Arabidopsis thaliana: one gene and its partner. The protein of the gene in region 2 interacts with the protein of the main gene of each other region in a pairwise test. Each region holds a gene or a part of one and is shown on either strand. Other genes may lie near its edges.

Region 1 (5,388 bases), on a different chromosome or scaffold from region 2:
CGTTATCTATCCAATGAGCCATTAGGAAGCTCAGAAGCTGCCACGTAAGATTCATATCTCACATCTCCAATCTCTGAACATCACTAACCTCAAATCTCTCTTCTCAAATACCATTCTTCTCAGCAACTTCACACATTTCGAAAGAGAATCTCAGAAAGATCAATCTAGAGAGACCAAAAAGAGATCGGAAGAGATGGCTTCTACCTCCGCGATGTCATTGGTCACACCACTTAACCAGACCCGTTCGTCTCCTTTCCTTAAGCCATTACCTCTGAAACCATCCAAGGCTTTGGTTGCAACTGGAGGCAGAGCACAGAGGCTTCAAGTTAAGGCCCTCAAGATGGACAAGGCTTTGACCGGTATCTCCGCGGCTGCTCTTACTGCTTCGATGGTGATTCCGGAGATAGCTGAAGCTGCTGGTTCTGGAATCTCTCCTTCCCTCAAGAATTTCTTGCTCAGCATTGCTTCTGGTGGCCTCGTCCTCACTGTCATCATTGGTGTCGTCGTCGGCGTCTCCAACTTTGACCCTGTCAAGAGAACCTAAGACCTATATATCTTTCTTACATCATTATTGTAATCTGTTCTCCTTCTGTGTATTCGTTTCAATGTTGCAGCAATGAACTTTTGGATAAAAGTCAAATTTGTTGTTTCCTGAATTCGAAAGACGATTGAGACTTGAAATCATAACACTAAGCTTCATTGAATCAAGATTCAATAGAATTCATCAATTCATAATATAATAGTGTACTAAACTCGAGCTTGCATATTCTGAGTTAATTGAAATACCTCACTGTAATACCTAGAACGAACTTACCTTACGAGCAAATCAAGCATGTATTTACTCTCGGATGTATAATTCACCTTATCAACCTTCACAACAGTCATCTTCACTCTTTGTTCATCCCCATACGATTCCTCTTTGATCTTCAGCTTCAACATGTACTGATGAAACAGTCTGTCTCTAACAATCTCTGCGAACTCTTCCTCCTTCTCCAATTCGTATTTCATTGCGTAAAGCTTCTTAGCCGGACATCCCATTATTTCTTCTCCTGTTTCTTGAAACGCGGTTATCCAAGTCAACCCAGTGTGGTCTTGAATCTGTACCTGAAGAAGGTATCTATAGTCGCATTCATCAGACTCTTGGTTGCACCGGTCACAGAGCCACCTGTTTGTTCCAGACCGTGTAACCTTCTTGTTGCATTGTTTATCCCCGATCATCAAAGGACAAGCTGTATAACAGAAGCTATCTGTTTTGATGAATGATATGGTTGCTTTCACAGTGATCCAGTCAGGCTTATCTGATCTTCCAAGACCTTCCTCTTTGATCTGAGAAACATTTTTCCTTATCTCGTTCCTGGAAACTCCTCCAGGCATAGTGTCCCTGGAGATGGAGAAGGAAGCAGTGTCTTTTCCCCCGTAATCGAACCAGGTCCGTAGTTTATGAGCTTCAGGGAAATCTGGATTTATGAAGAGCTGTGTTGAAGATATTGTCCCTACTGATTTCCCACTGAAGTCGCTTACTTTTCCAGCTTTTATTGCTAAAACCGGGTGAAAAGCTGAATCAACCATCTCTTCCAGTTGCCGACCATCTCGGTTACAGAATTCTCCCCAAAGTGTTACCTCTACAGCCTTTCCTGATTCATCCTTTAGATTCAGGATCCTCCTATGGGTTTCCATCCCGTTCTTTCTCAAGATTGGCACCGAGGGGTTCACAGAAGTCACCACACCAATGACATCGAGTATGGTATTGTTCTCAGCGTTCTCAATGTCACTTATTGGGCGGAAGGAGAATTGCTGCTTTGGTATGGAGCCATCTTCATCAGGGCAAAGCTCCACAGTCGATGTTGACTCCAAGAAAATTTCCCATTCATTCTTTAAGTGGTTGAAATTTTTCTGTGCAGGCTTCAAACTTCCCTTTGAAATCAAATATACCTTACCAACCTCAGTAACATCATAGAAACGGTCAACAAGAGCATTAAAGCACGTAACCCGAATCTCCCCTCCATCATAGTCAAGCAGATCAAACGAGAAAACCTTTCCATCTCCTTTTGCATTGTTATATCGTCTGATATCTCCTTTCGCAGTTACTCTAGCCTTAATAGCCCATCGACCTTGGTATGGATTGAGAGCAGCAATAGGGATGACTCGAGCTGGAGCCTCGTTCTTCATGATGGGTCCATGATTTCTGTAACTTGCAGGCGGTTGATATGAAGGTTGAACAGATGGCCTGAAGCTTGGAGTATTGTTGGCTTGATTTTGAATGTTTACACCCCTGGGAGGTGCTCTATTAACAGAATGCTGAACCATTGGTTCATTAAAAACAACCCTGTTCGGAGGCGGTATATTGCCCGTACCTGAAAATGTCTTCTGGGCTTCTGTATCTGTTTCTCCAAATATTGTAGGGTTCCCAATGGTTTCAGACTGTTGTACTATCGTCTCCATGTTCAGCACCACAATAAGCCTGTACACAGTATGAATAAATCCATAAGAAAATCACAATCAAAGAGAGCAAAACTCCTTCAAATATGTCATGTTCAACCAAAACAATTGTGTAACTATATTTTCCAACTCACACAATCAACAAAATCATCTCCATTATCATCCTAAATGTTGTCCTTAACATCTGCCTACCAACCATTAAATACCATGAACTACAAAGACAACAACACAAATCTTTCCCACTAGTACATGTTAACCAAAATCATTCATCAATACACGAAACCTCATTGAAAGGTCTCTACCAAAAGCGAAGCTATCATTGCTTCTGCAAACTCATTGTAACAAATGCCTTACACATACTAAACCAAATACATAGCCACGAATACTCAGAAACATTACTAAGCAACAAATCAGAGATCACTAGAAAACTAAGCAATTCAACACAACGAAAACTAGATCTAACCAGAGAGAAAATGGAAAAATTACTTGCGGCCTTTAACGTCGCTACAAATGTAATCAATCAGCTGAACGATAGATCCTTTCTCAAATTGTCCTGACTTGACTCGATCATTAAGCTGAACCGCGACCATAGCATGTTGAGCAGAAACACCATCTGAAATGAGGAAACGATACCTCTCCTGGCTTCTCTCTTGACTTCTTCCTATCATTTTGATTTCTAAAACCTGTAACAACGGCTTCAAATTCACGTCGCCGTCATGTATCGCCGTGATTGCGTTCGGAGTCAAACTCACCGGCATGATTGTGATTTTTTAGATCCCGGCGCGAAACCCTAGAAAAATTGAAAAAATCGATAAACCGGAGGAGGAGTTAGGAAATATTCTATGGAGAAATAGAGCGTGAGGAAGACGAGATTTGACCTAGACGGTGGTGGTGGTGGTGACTGTTAGGAGATTCCTCCGAAAGCTTTGCTGAATTTTGCGGGAGAAGCTTAAAAGATGTTGTTTTGGGTCGCAAAACAGTTTATGGAGATTTTTCAATTTTGAAATTTTTTGGTTGATATTTCAGTGTAAAACTACTAATTTACCCTCGACTCGTAACTGTGAACGACTTGGATTAAATTCTCGAAAGAGAGAAAGACTATAGAACCCCTTAGAACATCCTTATTGGTAAGCTCAGACTAGTTCTTATGTTAATTAGATTAGAAATTTAATGTTTTAATTGATTTCTTTGGTAAGAATTGCTCTTATATAAGAGCAAAAATTAAATCTAAGAGCTAGACATGTGTCAAGTTTTTATTGGGTGAGTGTAAAATATTAACTACATTGTTAAATGTTTTCAAAATTTATGTTGTAATCATTATTAAAGTCTTTAAAATTAAAATGTTTTTATTTTTAAATATTTTTTTTTCTTCTTAAGAACTCAAAGCTAAGAACTCACCATTGCATATTACCAAAATTATAATTTCTTAACCAAACTCTTAACATAAAAGATTTCAAAATTAATTATATATATACCTATGAACTACCCTAAGAATAATCTAAGCAATCCCCAATAATGATGCTCTTAGAGCATCCACAATGGGAGGCTATTAGCAATGACTCTTAGCAATATTTTTATTAATTGATATTGAAAATTTGTAGTTAAGAGTTTGGTAAGAGTTTTAATTTTTGGCATGATTAATAGTAGTATATTAATTTGGGGTTTTTAAAAAAAAGAAAAAAATTAGATTCAAAACCAACAAATTAATTAGCTCAACAAATGTTTAATCACTATAAAATATCAAGAATCTCTCAAAAGAATCTCTCAATAGAATGAGATTTCGAATGAACAACATGTTATACCTTCTCAAATTACTCAAGAACAGACTTAGCAACTTCTCACTTTTGTTCAAAAGAGCATCTAGCGTCATCATTGGCACCAAAGCTCTAACCACTATGTTTAAAAAAAAAAAACATACAAGAACAAATCAAGAATCGTAAACAGAGCTAATTCTTCAACAACAACAAAAATATCAAGAAAGAAGCAAAAAGTTACCATTAAACACATAAGCTTGGATCTGCTCTCTAGGGTTTTGAAGCTCATAAAACACATCATCTGTACTAGCTTTCACTACACAACAACAACAAGAACCAAAAAAACTAATTTACATGAATCTCACCACATATTAACCAAAATTCCAAAAGGATGAAAAAGAATAAGTGATCATGAACCTTAGTTTTGATTTCAATTTTGGTTACAGCTGACAGAGTCGACTGCAAAAAAGGAACAAATTGAAAAGACTACATGATGAAAACAAAATCGATGAAAAACAAAACCAAATATGATCGTCAATAATCAAAAAGGTAAACAAAAAAGAAACAGAACCCAAGTAATTTATTAGATTAGCCAATTCATAGACACAATTTTGATAACAAGCTAAAACCTGGCAATTATCAAACAAATCAAGTTATCATCAGAAATTTTGAAATTACCAACCAACCAACCATATGAGAAATAGATTGAGACAATCATGCAGGGCCGGCCCGTGACGTAAGCGATATAAGCGGTGGCTTAGGGCCCAAAAATTTTAAAGTCCAACGAGGCTTAATTAAAAGAGAGTTGAGAAGAAAAAATCTGATTTTCAACCCAAGACTTCTAAAGCCCATCAACCAATTCTCTTATTCTAGGTTTCCTCCATTAAAAATCTGATTAATTCCATCTGCCGTGAAGAAGCAAGCGACCGACGTACGTTAGAGCGTTGAGTTGAGACTTTGAACGATGCCTCCTTTAGGGATCAAAAAGGAACCTCATGGATGTGATAAAAGAAAATTGCAAAAGAGACGAGAAGAGTTGGTAAGATCACAGGCTAATTCTCTTCTTAGGTACATGAAAAAACCTGAAAATCCTACAATTTCTGAAGTCATTAATTCTGATGGAAACAATAACCAACAAGAACGAGCTGATGAAGTGGATCCAGAGAATAAAGTGGACAATTTGGATGAAGTGGTT
Region 2 (5,535 bases):
AATATCACAAAACTGAAAATACAACATTAGTATCTTTCTAACAAAACATAGGTGTAAGTGTAACGTCTCAAGGAGATTCAGGACGCTACAGAATTACACTCGTAACTAATTGTATATTCTTTTTAGTATCTCAATTATTTGCATTTTCATATTTATTAAAAACATCATATATTCCTAACATTTCACATCGACAAGAAATAATCTGCCATGGTCATGTCACTAATGCAGAAACGGAAAACCAAAACCTTTTGTTTGACAATTTTTTATCTTAAAAAATCAGAGCATTTTAAGCAGAGCAAGCCGTTTAAACCTTTGGTACTAGTTCAAGTTGTTACTTTCTTAGATTCGTCAAAAACAAAAACAAAATGTCTCTGGTAAAGATCAAAGGCCCAGACCAATATTCAGATTGGACCGGGACTTAGAATTCGGGCCGACCTAATTGACACCATCAGTAGCAACTGGCAAGCATAACAAACAAAATCAAATGACGGAAATGAATTTTAAAAATCCGAAAGCCATAGGAAAGCTTTTGAGTTTAGTCTAAATCCAAAAGCCATATGATTTTGATAAATGGTTTATTAATTAACCCATGTTTGCAGTTCTTAGATAGATGTTGTGTTTTCGCTTCGGTAGAAAAATAATCACTCTAAAAAGAATAAAATTCTCTCAAAACCATATAACAAAAGGAAATCAAGTGACGAAAATGATTTTGAACTTTTGAGTTTAGTTCCCTTTAAAAAAATCCAAAAGCCATAAGAAAGATTTTTAGTCTTAAAACTACATATTGTCCTACCTTAGGGCCTATACAAAAGACTTTTGAACATGAGAGGAGGATTGATATGTGTTGACATATAAATCAATTTTCATCAAGCGTTAGCAGTCGATTTGAAGCATGTCTCGTCCAAAGTCGAGTATATGCAACCATCGTTTGAGAGCTGTTCTAACGCTTCCCTGCCACACAGACAAAGCCGTTCTTGTCAAGAAAATTTCTTTGTTTATATTGTAACTTTATCAAATAGTGATAGGAGGGAGATAGAGATAGAGAGTAAGAATGAGAGGAGATTTACTTGACTTGAAGCAGCGGAATCCTGAGTTCACGGGCAATTATATCACAGTGAACTCCAGCTTCAGATACACTGATGTAGATCCAACATATACAACACCAAATATCAAACTCAAGTTATGCTTTTAGATGAGCGAGAGAGAAGGAGAATCCAATGAAAGAAGTTGAATTCATATGGCAATACACTTATCACTGACTCAAGAACATCAATCTGCTGCAATAACATAATCTCAAACATCGGCCACAAGGCTGATATAGTTGAATGATTTTTACATAAAATTTAGTCAAGGTTGGCTCATAGAGACTTTAGAGGTTGATTTGCTTATTTCATGAACTGCAGTTTGATCATTAGTATTCAAAGCTGTATGAAATGAATGAAATATATGACAAGTTAATTGGGTTCTTTTGGGGATATTAGATGAACTTACATGTGCATAGGTTGATTCAGGTAATTCAAGACCGTCTGCTTTACACCATGCATTGAATCATTGAATTGGTTCGGGAACTGAAAAAGATTCTGTGAGTAACTTAAGAGGACCACAAAAGAGCATGTAAAATTAAATTCTAGATTGATTTTGTCTAATACCTGATTAGATGGACCGGTTTGGTAGGGCTTTGCAGGGGTTGGCATTGTTGAATATGGCATTTGGGGCCTAGGAGTAGCAGTATCTTGAGTAATAGAACCACCCTAAAGTAATAGAGGTTAGTACCTAACATGAGAAGTATTAAGCTGTGGAACAAAGATTAAAAAAGCGGTGAAGGATAGGGTAATACCCGTAACTTGGTGTTGTACATGTGGACATACATACACTCGGTAAAGTGGTGTACAATCTCATTGAAGTCAGTGACAGGCCTGAAAGCATATTATTGGACTAAGTATATATCTTTAAGATGCAGCAAATACATTTACTTGGAGAACACAAAATAGAAAATGTAACATTTTGAGCCACTGAGAAAAAATATCATAGATCGACAAGAATTTTCAAATCCAGAAAGGCTAATAGGAAATGATTCGCTGACCACATATATCATAGACTGATAGAGAAAAGTATGTCAGGAAAACAAACCTGACTGAAAAAACATTCACAGATCGTTTCCCTTGAAAAATTTTCAGGTGTCCATGTAAGCGAACATACATTCCCAGCCTGTTATACATGTGAACTATCAAATTTTTGATATACTATTCTAAAGATCTAGGAATGTGCAGAAGAAACATACTTGACTGCTTCCATTTCTTCAGTTTCTTGCCGAGCGTGACACCTGCAGATGAATTAGCAAGAGATATAGTTGAGCTCTTTTATGAAAGCATTATCATATTGAGGCTGTATTAGCATTAGTATTATAAGTATTTACCATCTGACACAATCAACCCAGCCTGTACCGTCATCAACAACAAAATCGACCTGAGTGATTCTGTTCTCCATTCTAGAAATCCGTCCAACGATTACAACCTATACACAGATAACACCAAAGCTCAAATGCTTGAATCAATAGAGCTTAAGGCATAACATTATCAGCAAACAAGTTTTAACAGCAGAAGATAAAAAGGAGCTCACAGTTTTAATATCAACGCCATCAATAGAGAAATTTGATTCGCCAGTGGTTGATGCGCTGCTCAACTGCTTCAGTGTCAGGGGAAGCAAGGTACGTACATCGCGGTTCTGCAAAATAGTGGTGAACACTCTCATACATTGCTGGACTGCTCAAGTAAAATGGTGCTCATCTGTGATCTCTATATCCAGATTCACAAACGTACAATTATGATAAGATTCAAAATTCACAGATAAAATCCACATTTCTAGATAATATCTAGTCAACAATTTGTTCTTCGATACTTTTCATCCATGTAACATTTCCTAGAAAACTCGAATGGAACTTTTTGCAGCAGATATTCCCGAGAAACGACGAGAATCAGATACATAAACCTAGGTATAGAGAGCAGGCAGAACTAAAATTCGCATGATAAGAGAGAACTTGGATTACACAAAACGCGGAAAGGGTTTTTTTCAAATTGAGAAGATAATTTAGAGAGAGAAAGAGAGGAAACCTTGAGGGAAGATGAGGATTCATGGGCTTGCGTAGTCGCCTGAGAAGGCATGAAGCCGCCGCCGGCGAAAGCAGCGTTGCCGTCAAAATCGCCTCCGTACATGTTTTAAAAAGTTTTCTCTCGTCGTTTGTTGATGTTGATTCGAAACCCTAATGGAACGCTCGTCGCGAATTCGATCCGCCGCTTCTAATAAGTTTCTGGAATTTACTAATTTCTCATATCTTTTACAAATTTCAACTTTTCTTATTCTCAAATCTCAAGTTACTCTCATAAAATAAATAATTAATAACTAATGGAAAATTATATAGAGATCCCGCCAAAAATCTCTCTCATTTTCCCGCGACTAATTTTTAAAGTTTTCCAAGTGAATTTTTGTTTTCAGAAGCATTTTTTTTCAAATATCAATCTGATTACAGTCCATTTATTTACTAAACTGCTTTTATGGAAGGAGCCAGGTCAACTTTGAGACTCCCAGTCCTTCTTGCGGTTAATAAATGGACCTTAATAAATATGGGCCACTGGGCCCGATAAAAAGTTTGCCTAATGGTAGAGTCGTAGAGATATTGTATTCAACAAGATATTGCGAATGCGATGTATAACAAAGTTAGTTATCAATCAATCAAATAGTATCTTTTACATATTTCAGAAATTTCCCTAAGTTGCATATATATACTCTTCTTTTTGTTACTAGAAAAAAACAAACAAAAAAGTTTGGTACATATCGAATATTTATAGTAACGGTATACAGATATTATTCCGCATTAGCTATGGGGAAGACTAGTCTTTTAATCTCCCTAATCTCACGTTTTAGTTTTATGATGATAATTCAAGCGATTATTTAGTCGTGTTATTGTTTGCGTTTATCACGTAGGAAACCGAATCGGATTTTTTTTAATTCATTTAATTTATTTTATAGTTTGCATTTTGACACTTTTTGGGGAGTGTGGCCACTCGTGAGACAAAACCTCACCAACTAGGAGTATCATTTTCTTCTACGTTAGGTTCATCAGTCGTTTCCTTAATCCGAATCATTGTCTCTCTCTCTCTTGATCTTGATCTCTACGCTAAAAATGGGAACCCAGTTAGAGTTCGAGCAAATTTGAGTTTCCAGGTTCCATAATTTAATAATGTATATCAAGTCTCAATTTTTCCTTGGTCGCCTCCTCTAACGTAATTTACTTCTCACTGATCCGCAGCAACGAGACAGAGGCTGTGACTATGGCTTCTAAGATTAAGTAAGTGTCTTTTTCCTTATTAAGATTCATTCTCCGATCCTTTTTTTGATGTCGGTGGAATATTTCGTCGATTCAAATTCCGATCTGGGTCTATCTTGAGGTTGTCTATGATGATGTGGTAGATCTGACTAGGTTTGGGTTTAGGGTTTAATCTCCTGGTTTTTAGTGATTCTATTTGTAACACATTTGTCTGATTGTTCCTGTTTCTGTGATTTTTTTAATCTTACAAGCAGCTTCACTTATATATAAAAAATAATAATAATTTCATTGCAGAGTTCTTAGTTGTTGTTGTGATGTTGTATTTATGTTGATTTTTATTTGTCTTCTCTTCTACTTTATAATTTAGTTAATCTAAGGCTCCATGGCAGAGTTCTTAGTTTTTTTTTTTTAATGATTTTGGCAAGTGTAATCAATTCTCACGTGTTTTGTTTTGTTTTGTTTTGTTTTGCTTGCTTGATGAGAGACCTTTGTTGTTTTCTGAAGCAGAAATGGTTTATCTGACACTACTTTGAGGAAATCATCTTCAACATCTCTAAGAGTGCCTAGACTCACTCGGATTGTGACTAAACCTGATTCTAATTCTCCTTCACCGACTCAACAACAGTCACGGCTTTCGTTCGAGCGCCCTTCTTCTAACTCAAAGCCTAGTACTGATAAGAGGTCCCCCAAAGCTCCAACCCCACCAGAAGTAAGTGTGTTCATAATAGTTTGCCTGGTCTTAACTTGGTTTAGTTTTGACACACTATGCTGCAAATGTTGATATCCATTGTTTTGTTGTCTTATGATTGTTTGCAGAAAACTCAAATACGGGCTGTGAGAGTATCAGAATCGCAACCTCAGTCAGTTCAAATCAAGGAAGATTTAAAGAAAGCCAATGAGCTGATAGCATCGCTCGAGAATGAAAAAGCTAAAGCACTTGATCAACTTAAAGAAGCGCGGAAAGAAGCTGAAGAGGCATCTGAGAAACTAGATGAGGCTTTAGAAGCTCAGAAAAAGTCCCTGGAGAACTTCGAAATTGAGAAATTTGAGGTTGTTGAGGCAGGGATAGAGGCGGTTCAGAGAAAAGAAGAAGAGTTGAAGAAAGAACTAGAGAATGTCAAGAACCAACATGCTTCAGAATCAGCTACTCTTCTTTTGGTAACACAGGAGCTGGAGAATGTCAATCAAGAATTGGCTAATGCTAAAGATGC

What was found.
Region 1: the proteins of RPA32B (region 2) and RPA1A interact in a two-hybrid assay, tested with the Arabidopsis thaliana proteins (one study listed by BioGRID).

Annotation. Positions count from the first base shown.
Region 1 is NC_003071.7:2,583,024-2,588,411, reverse strand, and holds RPA1A (replication protein A 1A), read right to left. Parts: upstream 3,429-5,388; 5' UTR 3,318-3,428; intron 3,230-3,317; 5' UTR 3,198-3,229; coding exon 2,926-3,197; intron 2,462-2,925; coding exon 811-2,461; 3' UTR 726-810; downstream 1-725. Other genes in the region: PSBX (photosystem II subunit X), read left to right, coding at 194-544; AT2G06500 (hAT family dimerization domain-containing protein), read left to right, coding at 5,189-5,232, 5,262-5,388. UniProt on the Arabidopsis thaliana protein: Component of the replication protein A complex (RPA) required for DNA recombination, repair and replication. The activity of RPA is mediated by single-stranded DNA binding and protein interactions.
Region 2 is NC_003074.8:650,978-656,512, forward strand, and holds RPA32B (Replication protein A, subunit RPA32), read right to left. Parts: upstream 3,504-5,535; 5' UTR 3,213-3,503; coding exon 3,111-3,212; intron 2,725-3,110; coding exon 2,620-2,724; intron 2,515-2,619; coding exon 2,417-2,514; intron 2,324-2,416; coding exon 2,282-2,323; intron 2,209-2,281; coding exon 2,131-2,208; intron 1,917-2,130; coding exon 1,838-1,916; intron 1,752-1,837; coding exon 1,650-1,751; intron 1,569-1,649; coding exon 1,492-1,568; coding exon of another isoform or gene 1,488-1,491; exon of another isoform or gene 1,137-1,487; coding exon 1,068-1,136; intron 952-1,067; coding exon 867-951; 3' UTR 595-866; downstream 1-594. Other genes in the region: AT3G02930 (weak chloroplast movement under blue light protein (DUF827)), read left to right, coding at 4,329-4,345, 4,832-5,033, 5,141-5,535. UniProt on the Arabidopsis thaliana protein: Component of the replication protein A complex (RPA) required for DNA recombination, repair and replication. The activity of RPA is mediated by single-stranded DNA binding and protein interactions. Required fo cell division in meristems.